Linked DNA regions of Arabidopsis thaliana. The protein of the gene in region 2 interacts with the protein of the main gene of each other region in a biochemical or structural test. Each region holds a gene or a part of one and is shown on either strand. Other genes may lie near its edges.

Evidence for each region. The genes of interacting proteins can lie anywhere in the genome.
Region 1: of the proteins of AT1G12000 (region 2) and MC9, one has a biochemical effect on the other in vitro, tested with the Arabidopsis thaliana proteins (one large-scale study listed by BioGRID).

What each region holds. Positions count from the first base shown.
Region 1 is NC_003076.8:1,149,387-1,155,635, reverse strand, and holds MC9 (metacaspase 9), read right to left. Parts: upstream 1,897-6,249; 5' UTR 1,744-1,896; coding exon 766-1,743; 3' UTR 596-765; downstream 1-595. Other genes in the region: AT5G04210 (CCCH-type zinc fingerfamily protein with RNA-binding domain-containing protein), read left to right, coding at 1-57, 146-581; PKS4 (phytochrome kinase substrate 4), read right to left, coding at 3,302-4,522. UniProt on the Arabidopsis thaliana protein: Cysteine protease that cleaves specifically after arginine or lysine residues. Does not cleave caspase-specific substrates. Required for proteolytic processing of GRI.
Region 2 is NC_003070.9:4,045,621-4,056,196, forward strand, and holds AT1G12000 (Phosphofructokinase family protein), read right to left. Parts: upstream 8,252-10,576; 5' UTR 8,108-8,251; coding exon 7,912-8,107; intron 7,677-7,911; coding exon 7,518-7,676; intron 7,418-7,517; coding exon 7,296-7,417; intron 7,167-7,295; coding exon 7,113-7,166; intron 7,017-7,112; coding exon 6,910-7,016; intron 6,772-6,909; coding exon 6,666-6,771; intron 6,496-6,665; coding exon 6,432-6,495; intron 6,343-6,431; coding exon 6,254-6,342; intron 6,028-6,253; coding exon 5,896-6,027; intron 5,796-5,895; coding exon 5,625-5,795; intron 5,519-5,624; coding exon 5,403-5,518; intron 5,289-5,402; coding exon 5,177-5,288; intron 5,069-5,176; coding exon 4,984-5,068; intron 4,899-4,983; coding exon 4,854-4,898; intron 4,771-4,853; coding exon 4,702-4,770; intron 4,613-4,701; coding exon 4,539-4,612; 3' UTR 4,276-4,538; downstream 1-4,275. Other genes in the region: RUB3 (ubiquitin-related protein 3), read left to right, coding at 1-235; AT1G11990 (O-fucosyltransferase family protein), read right to left, coding at 626-931, 1,017-1,257, 1,345-1,703, 1,781-1,924, 2,015-2,135, 2,242-2,330, 2,416-2,477, 2,555-2,648 and 2 more. UniProt on the Arabidopsis thaliana protein: Catalytic subunit of pyrophosphate--fructose 6-phosphate 1-phosphotransferase. Catalyzes the phosphorylation of D-fructose 6-phosphate, the first committing step of glycolysis.

The sequences.
Region 1 (6,249 bases), on a different chromosome or scaffold from region 2:
CATGTGTCTATACCGCCATGAGATCAACAGAGGCTTAGATTGTCATGGTCGTTCTGGGTAAGCTATTCTACATACATATATAGATGTATATATATTCTCGAGTCTTTGTTTGTTTGTGTGTTTCATGTATTTTTCTTCACCGCAGGTTAGAAAACCCATTTGTACTCGAGGTGCTTGCAAGAGCTTGTAACACGGGCCCTTTGAAACCACCAGAGGATCAAAGTATTAAAACTCTTTACATCCGTAGACTTATTAACTCCAGTGTCCTCGAGCAGGACATCCGAGACCATTTCTGCCCCTATGGTGAAATCGAATCTATTGTTATCTTCCCCCACCGAGGAGGAGGCACCTGTGCCTTCCTCACTTACACTACCCGTCTAGCTGCTGAGAAGGCCATGCTTGAGCTCTCCTCCTGGACTGACATCAAAGGCCAGAGGGTTAAACTCTTGTGGGGACCTACTGAAAAATGGCAGCACAAAATGACTGGTGCTGCCATTTCTTCAACCCAAGAGGTTGGTTCTTCTAGCTCCAATACTGCTGACTTGGTAACTAAATTAGTACATTCTCTAGAAAAGCTTTAATTAAACCTTTTTGTACCATTAAAAAAGATAAATGTTATTAAACAAGTTTTATATGTCCTTTTTCCTTTTAGAGTACACCACAGAGAATAGAAAATACACACATTCCACCAGTTAACAATTTACAACAACCCCAAAGGCAAACGTGATAAAACAAATAAAAGAAAACAACGCAAACGTTTAAAATTCAAGGTTGAGAAAGGAACGTCGCGTCTGCGTTCTGGTCGCTGCAGTAGAGACAAGGGTGTTGATGAAACCCTAGTCTCTCAAGCACATCCCTTGCCATCATCACTAGTTGCTTGTTCTTCATGGCACCTTCATTTTCGTTCAACACCCTTTGAATCGCGTTGCTAAACGCTCCGTACGCTTTCCCGTTCCCAACGCCGACGTCAGCAGACGTCTCATCCGCCTGACACCCGCTCATCAATATCCCTGAGTCCACGTGTTTTTCACGGGCCGTCATAGTCTCCAAAAGATCCATTAGATCCATTGCCGGTAACCGAAACTTAAGACCAGCATCGCGGCCAAAGAGCTCAAGTAGATGTGTGCCGATGTCGGAAGTTGTAATTCCGGTGAGAGAACTCAAGTGGTCAAGGACTGCCTTGAAGGGCAAGGCACGTGATGTTATAGTCTTGTTCGTTGTCTCAATAGCCGGAGATATGTTGCTGGAGACCGAAGAGGGTCCGATCTGTTCTTTCTCCTTGTCGATGAGACCACCACTATGGCAAGAATCAGAGATCATGGTAAAGCTTGTTCCTTTAGGAAGTTGATTGACCAATTCTCGGAAATCAACATCTGTGATGAGATTGAAATCACAAGGAACAATAGCTTCGTCTTGTTTAAAAGGATGAGCAGATTTAACCGAAGGAATACGAGTTCCATGGCCACTGTAGTGGAAGAACAAGATGTCTCCAGATCCGGCTTGAGCTTTATCCACCATCCTACGTAGAGCAGCCTTGATGTTGGCACCTGTCGGCTTTACCTTTGATTCTGGCTCGTCCGTTAGCACCTCAATGTCGTCTTGTTTGAATCCGAAACGTGACAAAATAGTTTCTTTCATGGCTAGAACATCATTGATGCAACCGTGAAGCTCGTTCCTTGTGTTAGGGTAGTTGCAGCCGACGAGAACGGCTAGTCTTTTCTTGACCATCCCTTGTTGATCCATTGAGTTTCTGGATATGATTTCTTAAGGTTTAAGAGGTAATTTAAACAACTTTCTAGGCAAAATGTTTTGGGGTTTCTTGTGTACGTGTGTTTAGTTTTCATGTGCAGTGTTGTGGTTTTGGAGCTAATGTGTATTTATGATTGAGGTTTCGTGTAGTGAAGTTCAAGTTACATACGATATTAGTATTTATATTTTCAAGTCTAGTTTGCTTTTAAGCTATGGAACATTTTTTAATGGCTTACTCTTGACTTATTAATGCTTTCAAGCAAGAAACTAAACCTTAAATCAGACTTTTGAGAAAGACATAATTAATCCTAAGTCATGGATTCATGATTAATTTGGTTAACTTGGATATATACGTAACTTCAAAAGGGAAGTCATTTTCCCAAATATTTAGACCTAATCCATCTAGCTATCTAAGGGAAGAGAGGAGCTAATTAACTTTAAATGCTATGATATACGAATGTATATAACGTATACATTGTTGAAAATAATGTCAATTGACCAAACTATAATTTGCCTTAATCCTAAAGGACCGTCTATATACTTCGTGCACGCAACGGAAAAGTCTTTTTGAGACGAACCATTTATGCTATTAGCACCATCTTCACTTCACCTACGAGCCTAACTCTTGACTTCATATTTACAAGTTATATCCCCAAAAAAGAAATCAAACTTTCAATGGTAAACTCTTTAACAAAATAAAAAGCATTCAAATTAAAAGATAAAGCTTTTAGTAAACGAAAGACTAATCAGAAATTAAACGTCTTCATCAACTGAGAATTTTTCTTTTTGGTTTTATGTGATAAAAACACATGCTGGATTATGTTTTTAACAAATAAACAAAACTAAATCGATGACCAATACTACAGTCTGTTTATTGCATAAAGTTGTTTATATTCCTATGCATGCATTTATTATCTCTTGGGTAACGGCTTGGAATCATCTCCCAAGTTCCCAACTCGTGATAGATTAAGGAATTGGGGCATGAATATTCTTGAAATTTTTGTCTCCTCTGTAATGCACCTGAATCCAAGAACCACTTGTTTTCTGAATGTACCTACAACAAAGACACATGGGGCATCTTCTTTTGCTCAATTCAGCCCGCCTACAATCTTTGAAGATTGATGTTTCCATGGGACCTCAAAGAAGTAGTGGATGAGGTTTCTAAAGAAAGAAATCGTATAACCAAGTGTTTTGTGGTCCATTGGTTTGTTCGAGTGGATAGAGGATTCGCTATGTGGGTCAAGGCTACGAATCTATTTCTTGACTATAGACGCCTTAAATACAACATACAAGTATTGAGGATTAGTTTGGGTTTCACTCCGGGATTTACTCCGGTTATTACAAAAAAATGTGATCAATATTGTGATAAATACAGGACACATTGATTTTGTTTACTTCACAAACCATAATCTTCATTAATCATTACACAAGTTATATTAACCAAAAAAAAGAAGAAGAAAAAACAGAGCAATTTTACACGAGAAGCATCCAAAACACACCAAGATAACTGGAGAAAACCGGATCTAAACCAAGAACAAAGATTTGGTATCCATCATTGCCTTGGTCTACTCGTCACGCTTAGTTTAGAACTGCCATTGTTGCACAACACCTTTCCCGCGACGTCGTTTTGAACACCAACGCTCTTAACCGGTTGCACTAAACGCTTATCGCCGTTAACCATAACCGCCTTCTCACAATGACAGTTCAACAAACCGGTTCTCTTCTTATCGTAACCACTAAATGCTGTAGACGATGACGACAAGGCAATTCTTGAGAAGTTAGCTGCAACGGCCGAGGCCGGCTCGGCGGTCATAACGCTCCAAGTAACACTTGCTTCGCTTGGCTCGTAACCGTACTCAGACACGGTCTCTTCCATCGAGTCCCGTACTGGTGGAGCCCATGGACGAGCTGCGGTTTGAGTAGAGAAGCTCTCTATCTCAAAAAGATCGGAGCTTGCGTCGCTTGTGGCTTCTTCGTCTATGATGACTCCCTTGGGACTCGTAGGATTCAGAACCGGTTTAATCGGAAGCAGAGCCGGTTCAATTCGTACCGGTTTAATATGATTCAAAACCGGATTCTTGGGATTTTCTGATAATTGTGAAGTTTCGTTTAGAGTTGGGAAGCTAAAATTACTAACTGGAGCTCTAGCTTCTTTGTTTGCAGTGTAATCGATGGACCGAGTCACAGTGTTTGAAGGGATCGTTAATCTTATTGGCTCAGGTGAAGATATCGTCTGATGACTATGAACTATTCGGTTCGAGACGATTCGGTCAGAACCGGTTTTGGGCACTGCGATTCTTGGTTTGGATTCTTGGACCTGAACGGACTTGGAGCTAGAACATGGACAAGCCCTGCGTCTAAAAAACCATCTTGGTCCTTTCTTGCTGCTTCTACGTCCATCTCTGTCCGATCCTTGGCGGTTTTTGTTAGAGAGCAAACCGGTTTGGCTGTTCCAGCTAGCTTCAGAGGATGCCGTTTGTCCCACGGTAAAAGAAGACACTTTTGCAGATGCGACCGAAGAAAATCTTGGACCACTTAGATTCCTCGTCTGGCATCGACTATCGTTGCTTCCGTTTTCGCTAAAGTAACTTCGAGCTTCGAAGATACTTAGCTCAGTATCTTCATTCTCCTTTTGTTGTTGTTCGTTGTTGTCTGGTTTGAGGTAAGAAGAGAAGGAGACATCGATGTCGTTTGATCGATTCTGAAGAATCTTGATGTAAGGATCAAGAGCATCGCGTTTGGTCGCGACTACAGTGACAGTAGTTTGCGCCATTGAAGTATCTTTTGCTTCTTTTTCTCTTTTTCTGGTAGAAGTTGAAAAAACAGAGTTGCAAGTTAGTTCAGTGCTCTGTCTCAAGTCTCTCACTTTGTGTATATATATATATACTCGAGACTTGAGAGAAGTGTTATAAGTTAGTTATGTACGGAACAGTTATATCTACCTCGTTTAGATGTCATCAATACATTCTTTACATGTAAAAAATTTAGGTCTATATAGGTTTCCTTAATTAAATAAACCTTAAAAGTCCTTAGAGATTTTTTTTATATTAATAGAAAAGGTTTGATTTTGTGGAACCCAACTATTCCATTAAAATTCATCATACAAGAAATTTGCAGTCATCATCAACAAATAATAGAATGGATTAGGATTTTGAGATTTTTGGTTTTTGGTTTTTCTTCATATACTTTTCCATAAATCCAAGATATTTGGTGATTTGGTCTATAGTCTCTCTATGAATGTCCAAAGCCAGTTTTGAAGGATTAGTATATCACTTGGAAGTTCAAATTTTGGTCCTTAAGTAAGATTGGAAAAATAAAATAAAATAAGATTTGATTAGAACAAACTCAAAATAGTTATAGCTTCTGAAATGATAACAAATTATTTTGGTTTTCAAGGTTAATTCTTGTTCAAAAGCTAATATACTTTACAGAAGAATGTCGACTTAGTGACTTGTATGATTTACATTTTGTGGATACGCCACAGTTATCATCAAAGAGTTGCTCATGTTTACACTATAAATATTCAAAAATTTCCTAATTATGAAAAGAAATATGAGTTGTATCTATCAAAAAAATCCACATCAATAAAAAAACCCGACCCAAAATAGACTAACCAGTATCCAAATCGTAATCTCAAAGATGAGAGAAGAAACATAAAGTTTTGTTGCACCCTATCCTCAAATCTAGAAACGTGATGGTTTCCCTAGGCCATAGTTGGACCATGTGGCTTCTCCATTATTATGTTCTTCTATATGATGCTTTTAAGCAAGAAGACAAAGATAACTCAAAAGAAGGTGACAAATCTTAATAGTGATTACTTCCTATTCGACAAGAGACAGATCAAAAGAGAGGATAAGAATTATCATTGTAATAATATTGGGTCCATTTTGTTACAATGCATGCTATTTCGACATTTAACGGACAAATGCTCCGAACGTGATTAGGGTTCTTAGGCTGTCAATTATGTGGTGTTTTCTACTTTAACTTCATCAATGTTCAATGTAAGAACTTATTTGGTATATAGACTATAGAGCAATGAGTTGATTGTGTCAAATACTTTGATGTCTCAACCATTTGGCCTAACTGATTTATTAGTCTATCACACTCATATTATAGATTTGGGAGCCTACTCTGTGTTTGCAGTCTTCTAGGGTTATAGGTATATATAATGTGTATACATACCCTATATTAACATAAGTTCGTTGACAAAAAAGTGATATAAACTCAAAGATTGTCCATAAGTTGGTGTCCCCCTCCCAAATTCTAGAACATTACTATTTAAAGCTTTTCTAAAAGAGAATTGTTTTTTTCTCTTTAGACTAAGTAAAAAATCTAATCCAAACTCAAAACTTTTTAAAAATGGACTGCAAGTTTGACTTAAATTAGACCTCATATGCTTAATAATAGGCCTATTCACAGAGGAAATAGAGTCGTAACCCAATCTAACCATGAAAATCTTTCTTAGATAGACTATCACATATCAAAATAGAAGCTGAGTTT
Region 2 (10,576 bases):
GGAGATCAAAGTGAAGACTCTGACGGAAAAACAAATAGACATTGAGATTGAGCTAACGGACACGATTGAGCGGATCAAAGAACGAATCGAAGAGAAAGAAGGCATTCCTCCTGTTCATCAAAGGATCGTCTACACTGGGAAACAACTTGCTGATGATTTAACCGCCAAACATTACAACCTAGAACGTGGTAGTGTTCTTCATCTTGTTCTTGCCCTTAGAGGTGGTTGTTGCTAATCTAGGTTTGGTTACAATAAGACTAGCTAGGTTTATGTCAATTGTTTTGGTTTTCTAATTTTTTTCTTTCTTTCTTTTCTTCTGTTTGATTTGCTTATGTTATATTGGTTGCTTTTGGTTCTATGAAGATTCTGAACTTTGACCTAGTTTTAGAGGAGTGTTTCTTTATTGTGTTTTAATTGAATTTTTGTAGGATTCAATTAATAAGAAACATATAAATCTCACATATCATGTGCACACCAAAATCTTGATATACTCTTCAATCATATAATGAAAAAAAAACATATATCATTACAGAAAACTCAACTCTTAAGAGGTTACAAAATAGGATAAATTGAACCAAAACCGGACCCCAAAAAGAAAACAAAAAAATGATCAAATATTATTGATTCATGCATGACACATACATTCTTTACATCTTGGGTAACGGTAAACGCTGCGTCCATTAGGTCTAGCGAATACATGTTTCGTCTGTCTAATCGCTTTTCTTACTCTTTTCTCAAACACGTTCCACTCAATCGTACTGTTCTTCAACAATATGTCCGAAAGTCTCCGTTTGTTCGGTCTTATCGTCGGCAATTTCCCTCCTCCGTAATAAATCCGATAACCCGATACAAGAGATGATAACTGACTCCCTGAATCCGTCATCGCAAAAGCGTCTGCTGCAGCACAAGCGATGAAATCTAATGCCGCTAGCTACACATAAACCAAAGGAAAAAAAGATTAATACAAAATTGGTTTTTACTTAGGATTTGATGGTTTGTCTATGTTTAAGTTTTACCTGAGATGAAAAGTTTTTGAATGGTTGTAGTTCGGATTCTGTTAGTAACTTTTCTTTGGTGACTAGATTCGGGTATAAGCTAGTTAACACGGCTAAACGTTTTGATCCTCCATATATGTTTGCACCAGCTACGAAAACTCGGGTTTCGCGGTTGAAGCCAAGAGCCGCGAGCATAAGCACGGCTTCTTCGGGTGTTAGTGGACAAAGTCCTTCTGTCCTCAAAACATCCGCAGATCGGAATCTGAATAAAGAAAAGAAACAAAAACAGAGCAAATTAGGTTTAGAATCGAAGACAAGGAAGCTTGAGTTTGAAGTAAAAGGAACAAACTTTTTTTTTCTGGTTAAAGTTGAAAGAGATGGAAAGTGTTTTTGGCGGTAAGAATCCAACTCTTTCTGTTCTGTTTCACCTCCTCCGAAGTAACATAGAGAATGAGCCACCATGTCGATTTCAAACCGTAAATGGAGAGCAAGGTACTTAGAAGAAGAAGAAGAAGCCGCCTCCTCCTGCACCGGAGAATCAGACTTATTGTCCAAGATTAAGGAAGCATATTTTGGACCGAGGAGATGTAGATCAAGTGGTGCAACGTAAGATCCACTGCCCCGTAATCTCTTCACGAGCAATGCCGCAGTTTCTTGTATCCTCGGGACAAAGTTTAGCGCATGAAAGTTACATCTGCACCGAAGCCTCTACTTCCAAAAAGGTTTAGATAAAGAAGCTATAATCAGAGATATATAGAAGCGCGTAGAGTAAAAAAAATGTCTACCTGTAACTCAAACGGTAATGGATCAAAGGCTAAGCGGTTTCCGAATCCGACAAAATGGATTACTCTGTTCTTGAGTAGTATAGGGAGAATGTGTGTCATATAAAAGTCTGGTTTGGCTTCTTTCATCACTTCTATATCTGTCACCTTAAGAGGTAAAAGTGACAAAACATGAACAAAAAGAGAAGAAAGATGAGACTGTTCGCGTCAAGATTTGGGGAGAAATGTATAACTCACGACGCTACCGATTTCTTCAAGATTAAGAGATTGAAGCTCTTTTGGTAGCTCCTTTACTATCCGAATATCGGGCGACAAGTACTCCATAAAATGTTCCTCTTGGTAGATATCTCCAAACTGACTATATATGAAGTATTAATTAAAGTTCAATACATCGTTACAAATGTAAAAACCTCAAAAATGGCTAGAAAATGAGAGATAGAGGACGGAGAGCTTACAATAGTTACCTTGCATCTGTCCAAACGTCACTTAACATGAATTTGGGAATGACGAGAGCCGCATTGAGCAATCGAGCTACAACAACAATGTTACATACCTATGACGAAATCCATTGGTTATAGACTTATAGTCACTAGAGAATTTGAAAGATAAATTTGAAGGACAAGGAGAAGAAAACTTACAGCAACTCTTTGCTGATTAATCCCTCCGTTTGCAGTTACCATAATATATCCATTTTTGCCATCTAAAAAATCAGGCAAGTTAAACTCCATAGGAAACAAGCTTTAACCTAATTTTATAAAGAGAGAGATTGAATGAGACCGTCAGGAGTCAAAGAACGTTGATCCGCACAAGGCTTCCACGCCGAAGCTTGTTCCTTCGGCTCCTGCCATAAGTCTTTGGTCTCAAGTTTGTTCTGCTCAAAATCAAAACCATTACAATAACGGTTATCACGCATTCCCTATTAAAAAGAACAAAACAATGTTACTGAGAATTAGGAAGGATAAGATTGGTTTGTGAAGAATATATTTACCTCTGCCAAAGCATCAGTAGCCAAACTCAACATTCTACCATATGTTCCATTATATTTCATCTTCTGTTTTTCAAACTTTTTACGCTCTTCATTCTGATTCACACAACAAAAAGTTTAGATCAAATGAAACTTTAAGCACAAAACACAACTCTTCATATAGTCAATTACCACCATATAATAATTCAGTTATGCAACACAATATTTTATTTCAACTAAGATATCATTTTTCTTATCTTCTCTGTTTTTATAAATAAAAAGCTTTTTTTGTTGTATGTGAAAATGAGTGTAGCGCAAGAAACGTCAGTAATCAAGGAAACATGTCAATGAAGATTACGATCATTGGACCTGTGCAGAAACATGTTTTGGGTTCTCAGAGAGTCCTCTTCGAAGCCAGACCCGACCTTCGTGAAGGCGAGAGAGCATGAACCAATTAACGAGGCAAAAGAAACCCAAAATCGCCATAACGCCAATAGCTGTTTTAGCCGTTCTTTGATCGTTACAAGCTTGGATTCTCTTCCTCTTGCATCGCTTTATCGTTTGTTTTGGATTCGGGTCTCCAGCAAAGACGTAGAACCTGGTCGGACCGAGACGCGGCGAATGAGGCGGTGAACATCCGTAGACCCCAAGATCACGTGACTCGGGTCTCTCTTCGTCGTTAGGTCTTTCTTGTCCCATGATCAACAAAAGTCTCCTTTTCTTGGTCTCTCTCTCCTCTCTGTCTCTGAATTGACAAAAAAGGGAGAGAGAGAGAGACTAAACTAAAGGATGAAAGAAATTTCCATAAATAAGAAAGCGAAAGCTTTGCCGAATTTAACGAAGATAGTGAGAGAGAGAGAGAGAGAGAGAGATTATTTGAATTTCAGTGTGTCTGTTATTCTCTTCGTTAGAAAACTTCGAACATCATTAACGTTTAATGTTAGTCCTATAGTTTAGCTATTAACAGAAACAACCTTAGTGTTTTTTATTTCTTCTTATAAATATCTTTAATTTATCACAATTTAACATTCCACCAAGGCACCACTTGAAATATCATTTCACTTGCTAAGTTAGGATCTATAAACAGTTAACATACATGTAAAAGTTATGTGTTGTTTTGCTTTCAAGAAGCAAATAATAGACCCGTTAACAAAGCAACCTACCGGTATAATTTGATATGAAAATGACCTTGATGTATCTCTAGAACCTACCAGCATTAGGTTTTACTATTTTCTTTTAATAGGGTTTACTGGTAAGCAAAAGGTGGTTTAACAGTTAACCTCACAAGTAACGATATGTTGATTTTAGTAGCTTAAGATTTTCCTAATAGAAACCAAAAGAACTTTGTATTAAATTTGAATTCTGACTTTAGAACTTTGTATTAAAATTAGAATCTGACCTTGATGTGTATATAGAGCCTACCAGGACTTTTAGTGTGTTGAAACAATAATTAGCCTTAAACTAAATTTGTACTTTAAAAACATCATAAAAATTCAAGTAACGCATATGTTGACAAAAAGTAGCTTACGATTTTCCTAATAGACCCGCAAAGGACTTTTTTCTAGACAGACTCCGACTTTAGATCTTTGTAGTAAATTTAGACCATGTAGTATAATTATCTTATATGTTGAAGAAACACGAGAGAAATAATATTATAATTATCTTATATGTTGAAGAAACACGAGAGGAATCAACTTAATCGAAATGTTACGGACACGTAATATTCAAGATAAAACAAGACTGATGCGAAATTCCAAGGAAGGCAGAAAAGCAAAGGAATGGTGGTTAGTCGAGAGACTATTGAGCCCCGAGTTCAAGAAGTAGAGTGTGGCTGAGAGAGTCTGAACCAGGTCCAGTGAATTGGATCGGACCTGCAAGTCGATAACATTCCCGCAAAGGGATTAGAATCTGAAACACAACAGATGGTTTGTCAAAAAAAGACAAGAAACATGCAACAAACCTGGGCTGATGTATCGGTTCTTCAATGCCCATTCTTCACGCAGTGATGCGAATTTCTTAAATGGTGCACCTGCAGAGCTCAAAAAGACAGTCAGCAAGACAATCTAACCGCCAATCGAAAACTATGAAAAGGGAAGGGAATCAAAGGGTCACCTTCAAGTTCCACCATTGCTTTCTTGATCACAGGCTTGAACTTACCTGCAAGTTGAAATCAACTCTGATTTTTTAATATCTAGATTTCAAAATGTGTCTTAGTAAGCTTTATTGATTTATATTTCTGTACCGTGTCTCCTCTCGACATCCATCAAGGCTGTGAGAGCAGTCCCACCTACAGTCCATTCTTCCACAGGAGCAGCCAAGTTCCCAACCTGCGCCAATAAGTTAACTCATCTCATTCTAAGCACATACTAGTTTACCAAAGGCTATTATGATCACAGATGGAAAACAGATTTTAGTGGAAATGGTGGAGTACAAACCGAAGAAATTAGTCCGGTCTTCCCACTGTTGAGGAGTACTCCAGCGCCATAACCAAGTGCATAACAGTATGTGGCATCAAAATTTGTGGGCAAGCCGCATCTTCCTTCATACCTGTATTCAAGTTGATTACAAACCATAAATCAAGCTTGTATTATTCACATCAATAAATAAGCAATGTATTATATAACGATTTGGTTAACTGAAAGAACAAATTGCGTAACTTACCCGAAGAAATGTGACTGTCCCATGAATTGTCCCTTGTATGCACCAGCTTGCTTTCTTTTCTCCAATTCAGTTTCAACCATTTGAATAAGCATCTTCTCAGTCTCAATCTTAGCAACCTATTGAGATGAGGACATGGTATTATTAATAATGATTTGTGAGAGATGAAGCTAACTGCATTGTGGTGGAAATTTAGTACGAGGAGACAGGACCATGATCAATTACCTGGACATTTCCGTGTGGGTCTCTCTCAAGCATCAGCTGTTCCTGAATTGCTTCAGGCAGAAGATCAAACAGCTTCAGGGATTGCTCGGTGAGCTTCTTCTTCCACAAACCATTTTCATCGACAACCTCATTTGCCAGAATTTCATTCAGTTCAGCAATGAGCTCTTGGACCTGAGAAGTCATGAAATAAAATTAATCATCAGTTAAGAAGAACAATTATATTAATCGGTTTAAAAGTAGTAGATTCTATTTTTTTACAATGACAACACACCTCAGGAATAAAGTCGATCAGACCTTCTGGAATCAGTATGACACCGTAGTTGTAACCAAGTTCAGCACGTTTGCAGATAACATCCACCATGTAGTCTGTGACATTCTTCAAAGTCTGCTTCTGGGCAGAAACCTGCAAAAAAGTATTTCCAGATCAAAGTTGAGTAAATATAAACTGATCTAATGAGGCATGTGTGAGGTCTCTCTGAACCAATAACCCCATATTGAAATGAATAATTTGCTTCAATGGAAAAGTGTCACAAATATGAATCTGATTTGCAGTCTAATTCTATCATCTACACGATTAAGATTCAGATATCTTTACGGTAATTTGAATTGAAGTCAACCAAAAACGTTACCTCTTCTCCAATAATGGTTATGTTTGGGTGAGTTTGTAAAGCACACTCAAGCGTAATGTGGGAAGCAGCACGACCCATAAGTCTTACAACTGCAATGAAAATGTGATACAGCATGTAAACAAATAGGGCACAATAGAAATGATGCAACTTCAAGAAATTTTGTTAAACATTTACTTACAATGATAGTACTTTCCAGTCGACCTTGCATCAATCATGACGTTTCCGATCATTTCAGAGTAAATCTGCATAGGCATTAAAATGTTTTTAATAGGCTTTTTCCAACATAATTCTTCTGGTGGAACAAGAAATTAGATTCTTGACGAGGAATTGAAACGAGAGCAAAGGATTGGTTATGTAATAACTTATGTAACAATTGATAAAAAAAAAAAAAATGATCAAAACGGAATATCACCTTGCAAGCTGTATCAAACCCAAAACTAGTAGGAACCTCTTTGCATTTCAAATCACCATCAATGGTCTTGGGGCACCCAATGACTCGGGTTTTCAAGTTCTTACTCCTAATTATACAAGTAGATAATAAGTCAAATGCTGAATCAGCAAATATTAAAGATTCTGGTCACATGGATCTTCAAGAACAACTACTTTCGCCTAAGATAAATAAGTTTCAACATAACAGATTCAACTGCAAGGTTTACCTGAAGTTTTCAGCAAGAAGGCAAGCATTGGTGTTGGAATCATCTCCACCGATAACCACCAACCCATCCAAATCAAGCTTCTTTGCTGTTTCTTCAGCTTGTTTAAACTGCACATGAGAGGCATATATAATTACTCACTGCACGAAATAGAGGCTTTGGAAGCAGTAACAAATATCTTTTCAAACCACAAAAAAATATTCAACCTGGTCAGGTGTTTCAATCTTGTCTCTTCCACTGCAGATCATGTCAAAACCACCCTGTTGAGACCAAAAAAAGAATTATAACCACATCGACTTAAAAAGACAAGTATATTTAACCAAGGACTAATGCTCCACATCTAGTGGAGTGTAAATTCAAATCTTGTGGAAGGATCTGAATCCAAGTACCTGGTTTCTGTAAGGCTGAATATATTCAGCATTCAACTCAACATATTTGCATTTCATGATACCAGCTGGACCACCCTTGAACCCGTAAAATGTGCTACCTTTCGCACGCTCTTGCAGGTAATCTAACACGCCGAAAACAAAATCAAGAGTGGAACAATGTCAGCAACTATTCTACAAAAAAAAAAAAAAAAACATCATTTGACGTAAAAATCAAACCCTTACCAAACAGTCCAGAAATAACATTGTGCCCACCAGGTGCCTGACCTCCAGACAAAACAACACCAATCTTCAATTTCGGTGCCGACGAAGGTGCATCCTGATCTGGAACCACTGCTACTGATGGCTGGCCATATAGACCCGGAAACAACTTCGCTATCTCATCTACAACCACATAAACCAAAACACTAAATTCTCCAAAACTCTTCTAAATAATCTATAAACCACAGATCTATAAGAGCATCCATTCTCAAACTACACGAGAGCATAATACACACATAATCACAATTAAACTACTTCAATTTAGCTTAATAAAATCATCTAGTTCCTCAATTTTTCTCACCAAACTAACAAGATCTAGATCAGACTGATAAAAAAACTCAAATCGCGAGTATCTAACCTGGATTCCCGGCGGCGGAACTAGCGGGACCTTCGACGATTTTGAAAGCTCCTTTGAGAACAGAAGGCAAAGGAAGAGTGTTGTTAATACGGCTTGATTGAACTTCACTGTAAACCGAAGCACGTCCTTTCGCAGGAGCATTCTCCGGAGATCCGACGGCGGTGAGATCTCGTGTAACGGCGAGAGCAGGGGCCATTGCTCTGTGGGTGTTGTTTCGCTTTTCACCTAACTAGTTTACTTTCGTTTCGAACCTAACTTTTTTCTTCCCTCCTTTCGTTCACTCGTCGTCAATGGAGTTCACTTCGAGGTCTCCGCATTGGGGTTGGTGTGAATATATACTCTGACCCAAGGGTTTAATAGTCAATTCCTTTATTAATTTACTCATCCTACAAGGCAAAGGGTATTTTAGGGATATCTTGTATAATGGCCTGTTCTATGATGTTCGGAACTTTAAGGCCCAATTTAATTTTTGGGCTTTTGAGCCTTGAGATTATCGTATCTAGCTAGCTTCTTTTTTGCTGTCTATTTTTACGTTTTGTATGCGACGAGTACACATGCCTTGCGTAGACACCAAACCAAACACAATATAGCCTAGTCTGTTGCATTTTATTATAACGAAATTAGTGTTGTATTAATGAAAATGCATGCGTGTGTATAACTCCATAAGTTTTTAAAAAGACATGTAATTCCATAGTTTACTTTCACCAAAAAATCAATCAAGACATTGAACAGTAAGAAGAAGACGGTATATATGAACGTTTTGTAAGCATAAATCTGAATTTTTTTAAAAAATTAAAACGTTACCATTGAAAGTAAGTATTTTGTTCATAATAAGTCTAGATAAATCCGAATTTCGATAGATATATAGTTTGTAAATTAATACTTGACAAAAAAAAGAACTTTTCAATTAGTGAAAGAAATAACAAGCTCGCATGGGGGTTATTGGGCTAAGATCACTAAAAGAAAAGTAGGTAGTAGTAGCCACCGACCGAAGTATTTCTTTCTGATTTTTTGTTATCAATTATCAATTAATTTCACAAGATACGAGAGAGATAAAGATTGATTTATTTTCTTGTTACTTGATACAAGATTTTTTGTGGCACGAATTATTATAACCTCAACTTTAACCCTTTTCCGAAAAAAGAAAGGTATTATAACCTCAACTATTACAACTTGGAAGTAATTAATCGTATATTGTGTTGTTTTTCGTACATAAAGAGAAAGTACTATCATTTTAAACTTATTTTATTTTAGTTTCACTTCTTAATGAGTTTGGGAATATTTTCTAACTTTAGTTAAATTATATATAATGTATACTTTTCTTACCAAACATTTGATTTAAAGGTTTTTATTGATTTGTTAAACTATGAGGAATATTTTTTCCCTATTATGGAAGAATCCAAAGATAACTTATTGTAATTATATTAGCTGGCCAAGGCCAACCGGTATTATCGAAGAAGCAACCTCATAATGATCAAGATAATTTGACAGAAAAATGATCAGGTTAATCTTCTTCCTTCCCAAAATTAACAAAGTTGATTTATAATCCAAAAAGGACCAAAATCATATACGTATCTTTAGGTTGTGGTTGGTAATCCATGAATTAGAACGATAAACTGATTTTGCGATTCTGTCAATTAGTTATTGATAATTTAATTTATGTTTTGTTATTTCACAATTTATTTGACAAAAGTAAAAGAAAATGATCATCATATATACATCATAAATTTTCAGTCCAGTTAAGAAAAGGAAAGAAAAAACTTCATTTCATTCTAATTTTGAATATTACTCTAAGTCAAAACTATAAGTCAAATTCAAATTCTCTCACTGAAAATAACATATTTTTACTTGATATATATACATCAGACCTACTTGCCAACACCCATAAGAACGAGGAAATAATCATGCAACTCGAAGATGCAAGATGTTGGTGATGAAAATCATCCTCTTGTATATGTTACCATCTACAATATATATAAATAAATTACTCAACATGGAATTTGTCTCCTCATCCTGCTATTATGCAAAATAAGAAAATCTATCTGTCAAATAGTAGAATTACAAGCACAAACGATTTTCTATTTATTGCTTGTACGCATTTTACAATGACTTAGTCATTCCCTATTCATAGTGATTCAAATAAAATGATCAATCATACATAACTAGATAACCAAAAATCCAAAATCAGTATATTGTAATATTGTTATTTGTCGAGATTGATCGTATATTACACATCATCCCTAGCCTTTTTTTTTGCATCTAATGACTCCACAAAGCACCAGCAGATAAAAAAACTCTTCGAGTCTTTACTTGTACGAACCTTATAAACAATTATTCATGTTTTTTTTTAAAAAGGCAAAAGAAATAACCAATAGAATTGTAGAACTAGAGATACAAATGGAAAACACCAAATTTTATCCCATCTCAAAAGCAGGAGAGTAAGGTCCCCCCAATTATATTGCACACACACAAATACAACTTCCCCAAACTCTTTTTCTTTCTAATAAGAAAAATAATTTTTATATTTAGCAACTATTATCTAAATGACCCAATTATGTGATCTTATGACTCTATGATACTTATCTATCGTTTTACTTAAAAAATTATTTAAAAGACTTAACATTTGTTTTATTATTTGCGCCTATAAATAGCTAGCGACCCTCTC